Caenorhabditis elegans: one gene and its partner. The protein of the gene in region 1 purifies or fractionates together with the protein of each later gene. This does not show direct contact. Each region holds a gene or a part of one and is shown on either strand. Other genes may lie near its edges.

Region 1 (4,778 bases):
TTCAAACCAAAAGAAGCATATTCTCCATCGAAATCCTTTTTCAGTTATGAAATGGGCGGAGTCGGAACAACATCAGCTTCAGAAATAAATGAAAAAATATTAATTTCAAATGAAATTCCAGTTGATGAAATATCAAAAGAAGAAGAAGAAAAAGCAGAAAAAGAATTAAATGAAATAATAAAAGAATTAAAATCAGATGAAGAAGCTGTCGATGGAGAGAAAGATGTTGGAGAATTAAAAACACGAGAAGTCAATATGACATCTGAAAATGGAGAAGAGAATTCTGAAAATTCACATTCAAATGATACATCAACAGATGCAAAAGCGGTCAAATCTAGTAAAACAACGATGAATTCAAACTTTATTTTAATTTCTATATCTTCCATTTTATTTTGCAAATATTTCACTTAAATTGTAGACTCTTTTAATAAACCTGGTGCTTTCTGTCGATATATTGAGCAAAAAATTTAATAAAGGAAATGATTTTTTTTTTGAGTTTTCAGATTTCTTGAGGTTTCTGCAGACTGACAAATGAACAAATAGGATAATTATCAAGCAAATTTATTGATTACGAAAAATCGTGATCAACTTGTAGTAATAAATACGTGAAATGGAATAATAATTATGGAATAAAGCGATCATGTGTGCGGGATGGTGGGGGCTACTGATTTTGAATCTAAATGAGGCTCAGGGGAATAGAATTAATGGAATTTAGGGGAACAAGTGAAAATGAAACCAAAATAAATGTATGTGATTACTAGAAGGCTTACAAGCACTTTTATCAAGTTGATTATTACAATAATCTCAGAATTTTAATGGGCAATTCCAATTACGTCAGGTTGAGCTGGTCCTTGTGATTTGGCGAGCATATCTGCACTGATTTTGAGGTTTCGAGGCTGCTCCCATGGGAAATTATTGTGTCCAAAGTGTCCGTTTTCAGCAGTTGGCTCGTAAATTGGTCTCTTCAAGTCAAGATTCCTGAAAACAGTAAAAATAGTGAAACATAAAAAAAAACGCTTACTTGATAATCTTTCCCGGTCTCAGATCGAAGTTATCATTCACAATGGTCAATAAATCCTCCTCGCTGAGAGCAGAAGTTCCAAATGAAAAGACCATCACAGAAAGAGGCTTAGCAACTCCGATGGCGTATGAAACTTGAACAAGGCAACGACGGCAAAGTCCAGCTTTGACAAGTGACTTGGCAACCCAACGAGCAGCATATGCGGCAGAACGATCGACTTTGGTTGGGTCCTTTCCAGAGAAAGCACCTCCTCCGTGAGCTCCCCATCCTCCGTAGGTATCAACGATGATCTTACGTCCAGTAAGTCCAGCATCTCCCATTGGTCCTCCAATAATGAATGATCCACATGGATTGAGATGATAGATGGTCTTGTCGTCGATGAGATTGGCAGGAATTACAGCTTTGATAACCTAAAACCGAACAATAAATATAGCTGTATTTTTATTAATATTTTTAATTACCTTTTCGATGAGTTCCTTTCTCAAATCATCGAGACTGATATCTGGAGAATGTTGGGTGGAGATAACAACAGTGTGGACGCGTAGTGGGACACATGCTCCTCCTTCCGAAGCATATTCGATTGTGACTTGGGTCTTCGAGTCCGGACGAACCCATTCGAGCTCTCCAGATCTACGGAGCTCGTGAAGCTTCCGGTTCAGCTTGTGAGACAAGAGAAGAGTCAATGGCATCGCTTCTTCGGTTTCATCAGTAGCATATCCAAACATAATTCCTTGATCTCCGGCTCCGACATCGTCACTATCCTTGTCCACGTGGACTCCAGCAGCGATTTCAGGTGATTGTTGTTCGAGTGCAACAAGAACATTGCATGTCTTGTAATCGAATCCTGAAAATGAATACTGTATTTAATCAATAAACCAAGAAAATGAGATTCCTGACACAATGTGATGAGCCAATAGTGTAGAAACGAAATTATATTCTTCATACCTTTCGAGGAATCATCGTATCCAATTTTCTTAATGACGTTTCGGACGAGAACCTGGTAGTCGACGACAGCTTTCGAGGTGATCTCACCGCACAACATGATCATACCCGTTTTAGTCACCGTTTCTGTAATCAAAGTAACCGTTGTAACAGGTAAAGAAACATATTGTTGCGATAAGCTTCAGCCCCGTTTCCCGCATCATCCAACACCCGTAGAGCCTGAAATCAGAGACATGAATAGGCGAAATGCAAAAGAACCACAGTGATAGGTACGAGTTCACTGTTGATCCTTCTGCAAATCAAATTCACAACACAAATATCAATATCATGTTAATTCTGAGGTTAACACGACGCGAGTGTATTGAATCTGACCGCCTGTCTTCCATATCGCCGAATCTCTGAATGTTGTACGGATAATAATTGGGACTTTTGCTCATCGCAGCTCCATGTTGTTGTTGACATTTCGTTGGAGGATATCCAAAAGTCCTGAATCACTCACCACAAGCAACCTTAGCGTGAGGGTCTTGAGCCAGATGAGCGTCAAGAACAGCGTCCGAGATCTGAAAAACAAACATGAGAATGATAGACAGCTGCTTTCGAGCACGTGGGCCAATTTTCTACGCTTCGGAGATAACGTTTTGTTTGAAACTATACACATTTTGTCCCATAACTAACTTTTTACGAACTTGACAGATTTTTTTTTTCAACAGTAGCGTATTTCCAATCAAAAAATTTGATGGATTTGTTTATCTGGAAAAGACGATTTCTTATCAAATATAACTTACTTGGTCACACATCTTGTCGGGATGCCCCTCGGAGACAGATTCGGAGGTGAAAAGGAACTTGTGTTGCGGCATTTTATTTCGTTGATGGATGTTTGAAAGCGTCCGTCTGAAAGAGCGATGATATTTAGCTCAAATAAATAAAGGAAAGCGAGGAAGCGGAGGTGGGTTGAATAGAGGGCGGAGCGCCACGCAACAAAGAGAGACACAATACTCTGCGTCTTGTTGGAAACACGTTGCTCTAAAGTATAGTTTTGAGGGCGTTTTTTAGATTGCAATAAAACACAATTTTTTTGCGAGACAAGTGTGAATATTAGCCCGGAAAGCTCTACTTTTATACCATGAAGGTTGAACCTAGATCATCAGAAAACTACAGAGATTTAGAGAAAAAGGGAGCGAGAATTTTCGAAAAAAGAAGGATCAAAACAATTCTAAGGGCAAACCGTTATCTAAGGATGAGGAATTATGAAACACGTGTTATTTGAAACACCACAATAATATTTATATAAATATACGATGTTTAGAAATAAGAACACTGAGGAAGTTTTACTGTCATATTTTTGAAGAACATAAATCGAGATAAGGAAAAATATATAAAAGTCTTAGAGAACAAGACAGGCGACGTTTACAATCTAGAAAAATAAATGTCTAAAACTTTCGAAATATGCGTTCGAAGATTGTACAGATGAACCGGGAACACGGACAAAAAATCTTCGGAATTGAAGTCTCGCTGAACCTTATTGAAAGCTTCAGCAGATAAAGACAACTCACTTACACTCTTCGACGATGAAACGGTCAATGTTTTTTTTAATGTTATGCACTCCGAGAAATTTTGATAAAATTTCACGTTTTCACGTGTGGATATAGCCGAGTTCACTATGTTATCACGTTTTTACTCAATTCTTTTTAAAAGTATTATTATTGCAACAAGATCATTCCCAGCCTATACTATTGTGCAGAACATCGTTTGCAAGAAAAAAAGCTGTCGAGAGGGCAAAATCGGCCTGAACAAAGTTATTGCAAAACTTTGACATACTTTTTTATGTTTGATCATACGATTTTCATCGCTCTCCTCAAATTCATATTTGTTTTTATTTCCTCTAACAGTGTAATTGTGCTAATGGATATATGATCATGAAACTATTCAATTTGCAGAAAATCAATAGACTTTGCCCTTTTGTAAAAGCGCAGAAGCTCAGTTTCCACAACATGAAAAAAGCAAATACTCTAGACTTTAGGAACGGATTATAGTAGCCATTATCAGTAATGTAAACTTTAAAAAGCAAAGGAATCAAGAAAACAGGTTCTAATTTAGAACAAATAGCAACTTGGTAAATAAGAATTGGCCTTGTACTTTTAAGTTTGTAGTCTCACTTGCTTTTTGTCATGGTGTTTTGCTCAATTATCGAGAAACTGTAAGAATGATGAAACTACTTCCAAAATGTTTAATCGTATTTAACAAACACGTGGGTTAAATAGAAAAATAAATTATATCTCAAATAGAACAGTGATTTTTCACTGAAAAAAACGGATTTTAAAGCCTTTTTAAACCTAATCAAGCAGAAAAAACAATTAATACGATATTCGATATTTTTCCGTAACTTTTCTTGTTAATTCCGATATCTAGGAATCTCATATCTCGATTATTTCGATCTATTCATGATAGGGGAAAGCTTTCAGATATTTCCAGTTTCTAATTAGCGAAACAGATCTAATCTAGAACATTTATCGCCATCCGTGAGACAGCTGTTAAATTCTAGTTTAAGGATCGGCTAAAATTCGAATAAAATGCGACGAAAATTCAAAAAAGCCAGCAGATTTATAGAAATTTGCATAGAAAATGAAGAAAATGGAAAAAAGTGTTTTTACAAGTGTCGTAATGTGTTGGGCATTGTACGTGACAGTTGCTCACGGTGTTTGCGGACTTTGACAATTTCTGGATTTTTTGGGCCTTTTTTTTGTGCATTTTTCGCATATTTGTTTCTAATTTTCACAAGAATTTTAATTAAATTTACACGAATATTTTAATTTTT
Region 2 (3,831 bases), on another chromosome or scaffold:
TGGTCTCGAAGCGAAGATTTTTTATGCCAAATATTGTGCGCCTTTAAAGAGTACTGTAATTTCCAAATTTCATTTCTGCAGAATTTTCCTTAATTTGCCATAGTTTTTATGATAAAAAGTAAAAAAAAAAGTTTAAAATGTCAGAAATTCTATCAGAACTGGAGAGAAAATATGAAAATTGTTTTTTTTTTTCAAATTTTTTTACAGTTTTTCTCCAGTTATGTTGAAATTTATAATATTTTACAGTTTTCTTGTATTTTTTAATTTTTTATTTGAGTTTATCTTTTTTTTTTAATCGATAATTTATCGAAAAACTACAAAAAATCAATAAAAATTCCGCAACAACGAAAGTTTAAAACTACAGTACTCTTTAAAGGCGCACATCCTTCTGCAACTAAAAAAATTGTCGCTTCGATACCAGCTACCGTATTTTTAGCGAAAAAATCGCATTTTTCACGATTATTCTTCGATTTTGTCTGAAAAATTGGTAAAAACTGAAAAGTTAGGCTCCTGGACTTTTTTATTTAGAATTTTTCTGAAAAAAAAAAGTTTTTGCCGAATTTTATGCCAAATATTGTAAAATTTTAAAACGTTTTAAATTACTACCTAATAAAACTGAAAAAATAAAAAAAAAAGAGAACTCTACGAAAGGAAAATCAAAGAAAAAACTAATTTTTTGGGTTTTTAGAATATTTGATTTTTTTAAAACAATTTCAGTGTAAAAGTAAGAAATAGACATTGAAATTTACAAAAAAACGGCATTTTTTTTCGAAAAAAAAAAGTGATTTTGCACTTTATAAGATGAAGATAGTAACAAAAACAGACAACAATAAAATGAAAAAACTGCAAAAAATCAATTAAATAATTCCCCAAATCTCCTCAAGTCCACTGGTCACTTTGGCACAAGTCAACGCTGCACTCAATGGATAATTGCTGATCTTGGTCTCAGAATCGTTGTAATCGACGACGATCTTTCCACGAGCAATTCCACCGATAATAAGGACCAGAGGCTCGTCGGTTTCCGGTGCAACAAGCTTATTAGCCATTGTTAGCTCAGGTACATTGAACGACATGAGCATCTTACGGGATCCCACTGGAAGATGGTTCGACACTGGATTCTTCACTACTGACATCAGCTTTTGAGTGGTTTCGGCGGCTCGAATGGAGAGTTTGTGCAGGAGTTGGACTGAAAATATGGAAAATAGAAAATAGGGGGATTTTGCATAAAAATACCTAATTGCAAGAAAAGTCACAAAAAATCCAATAAAAAGTATTTTAAAGCATGTTTTTGAAAATTGGATTTTTGTGCTCTTTTTTGTGAATTTTTTTTTGATTTTCAGACTATTTTGGGGTATTTTGAATCCGGGTATTTTTAAAAGGAAAAGGGTATTTTTAAAAATTTATGTTTAAATTTGATAAAAAATAATTTTTAAAAAACTCGAAAAATTGTCTTTTTTCTTATTTTACATACAAAAACACTTCAAAATATATTTTTTTCAATTTCCAATAAACCAAAAACTCACCCATAAGTCCACAGAATCGATCAAAAGTTCTTGGAATTCTGCACTGTGGTGAGACATCAACGAGCACATTCTTGCTCGTTCTAAAGAAGACACGAAGCTTTCCGGCTCTGTTAAGCGGACTATCAAGTAGATTCAACAAGCATTGATGTAGGATATCTGGCCGATAATCAGCCGGATCTTTTTTCTGTTTTCTCAGAAAATTCGCGTGTTTATCACTGCTCAAAATTGCGTATTCTCCACCGACTTTTGCAGTTTCAAGACTACATCCTTCCAGTACAACGTACAAAATCTTCTTGTCCTCCAATTGATTATCCGTCTTCATGCGCTTCGCATTTGGCGGTGCAACTGTATCGTACTCGTGGGACATCTGAAATTCGGAGAAATTAATTTTTTTTGTCATAAAGTAATTTTTTTAGGACCAAAAATCGAATTTTCAATAATTCTGATGAAAAAAAAATTATTTTCTGAATAATATTGTGATTTTTTATAGTTTAGCACAAATTTTAAATAAAAGCTGTGGGAACAACGATAGGTCGTTCTGTAAAATTTTCGAAAAAATGCCGCTTTTTTGGAAATAAAATTGAGTTTTTCGACTTTTGGAAAAATTTCTAATTTTCCATATCTATCAATATAGGAATATACATAATTTTTGATAAATTAAAAGTTTTCACTTCTTTTTTCGTTTTTCGATATTTTTTCGTCAAAAACACTGAAAAATTTCTGCGGAGAAAATGTAAGTCGAAAATCAAAAAACTCAAAAACTCAAAAACGAAAAAATTTGTAAATTTGAACGGTTTTTCAAAAATTTCAGTGAGTTCCTTTTTTTGTCGAATTTCCCCTAAAACATGAAAATTTAACTAAATATTTTATTTCGGGATTTTTGAATTAACGAAAAATGGTTTTATTTTATTTTTTCGATTTTTGAAGCTCCTGTAAAGATTTTTATAAAACAAGTTCAAAAAATAATATGATGGTTTTTAAACCGAAAATAATTCTCACAGAAAAAAAAACTCAACAAAAATATAAATATCGAGATCAATCTTCATTGCAAATAGTACAAAAAATATCAAAATTACTTCAAAATAGTCATAAAAAAGTCGGAAACAACTCGCGGGAGCTGCAACTTCGAGATCGAGTCCTCCACAATTTTATCATTGATATGAAGCCAAACTTTTCTGAAAAAAAAGAGGATTTGAGGTGAATTTTTCAGCTGAAAAAAAAACCCACCGAAACGAGGTATTTGTCACATTTGTGCTCTCGTCTGCCTTCAAAATTCCCATTTTAACGAGATGATCCAATTCTCGGAATACGTAGACATCACTGCTCACGTTCAGTGGAGGATAGTGTTGATTAACGAGTTTTTTGAATTCTGAAATTACGGAGAAAATAGATTTTTAAAAAATAAGCTTAAAATTTTCATGTTTTTTCTCATCAATATAATCGAAAATTAGATTTAAAAAAAATCATATTTTATGGTTAATTTTCTGAACATTTTCTTAATTTTTCGGAAATTCAAAAAATCGAAAAATTTTTCGTTTTTCAATTTTTAAAAATTCGAAAAATCGAAAATTCCGAGATAAATTTTAAAAAATACCTAGAAAAACGTTTCGATACGAAGTTTTTGGCGCCAAAAGTGGTCCATCTGACTCTTTATTCTGCACAAGTCTCCAGACACAAAGAAAAACGCATTGTGCTCGAACTGTTTGATCTGAAAATTTGAAAAATTTTTAGAATTTCACTGGAATTATTAAATTTTTGAGCCGAAAAAACAGTATATAATTAGTTTTTTCTAGATTTTACCGGATTTTTTTAATTTTTCAGAAAAATTTCAAAAGCTGTAAAGATTAAAATAGGTTTTGATTGAAAATCACGATTTTTGCATGATTTTTTACATTTTAAAGTTGTTTAAAATTTGAAATTTGTTCCGAAAAAAAAAGGTAAAAAATTACTTTATCAGCTCAATTTCCAGATTTGAAATCAGAATTTTTAATTCTTTGCGGAATTTCAAAAAGTGAACTTGAATTGTTCATTTTTTGTTTTCAAAATTAGAAAATCGTGGGTTTTTTCTGCCTTTTTCAAAGTTTTAGCAGAATTTCTACCTTTTAAAATCAACAATTTTCCATTATACGAGGGAGAAGTCGTCTCGACAATTTTACGAATCTGTTTGCTGATTTCCTCGGGTTTCCACGTGTCTTCTACGTCACAATAGTAACCGAAAAGCATCAGGAATTGCGCGGCCAATTGTTTCAGAACGACGTAGTGACTTGTCTGAGAATATGGACTTTAATGGGGGTTGAAAAGCCGAAAA

What was found.
Region 2: the proteins of sams-4 (region 1) and emg-1 fractionate together in Caenorhabditis elegans (co-fractionation; one large-scale study listed by BioGRID). This does not show direct contact.

Annotation. Positions count from the first base shown.
Region 1 is NC_003282.8:5,843,516-5,848,293, forward strand, and holds sams-4 (putative S-adenosylmethionine synthase 4), read right to left. Parts: upstream 2,855-4,778; 5' UTR 2,821-2,854; coding exon 2,749-2,820; intron 2,524-2,748; coding exon 2,463-2,523; exon of another isoform or gene 2,090-2,462; coding exon 1,967-2,089; intron 1,866-1,966; coding exon 1,483-1,865; intron 1,432-1,482; coding exon 1,022-1,431; intron 979-1,021; coding exon 813-978; 3' UTR 546-812; downstream 1-545. Other genes in the region: C06E7.2 (uncharacterized protein), read left to right, coding at 1-411. UniProt on the Caenorhabditis elegans protein: Catalyzes the formation of S-adenosylmethionine from methionine and ATP. The reaction comprises two steps that are both catalyzed by the same enzyme: formation of S-adenosylmethionine (AdoMet) and triphosphate, and subsequent hydrolysis of the triphosphate.
Region 2 is NC_003281.10:10,647,578-10,651,408, reverse strand, and holds emg-1 (Ribosomal RNA small subunit methyltransferase nep-1), read right to left. Parts: upstream 1,891-3,831; coding exon 1,524-1,890; intron 1,187-1,523; coding exon 858-1,186; 3' UTR 501-857; downstream 1-500. Other genes in the region: orc-4 (ORC (Origin Recognition Complex) subunit), read right to left, coding at 2,596-2,698, 2,751-2,892, 3,118-3,231, 3,623-3,791.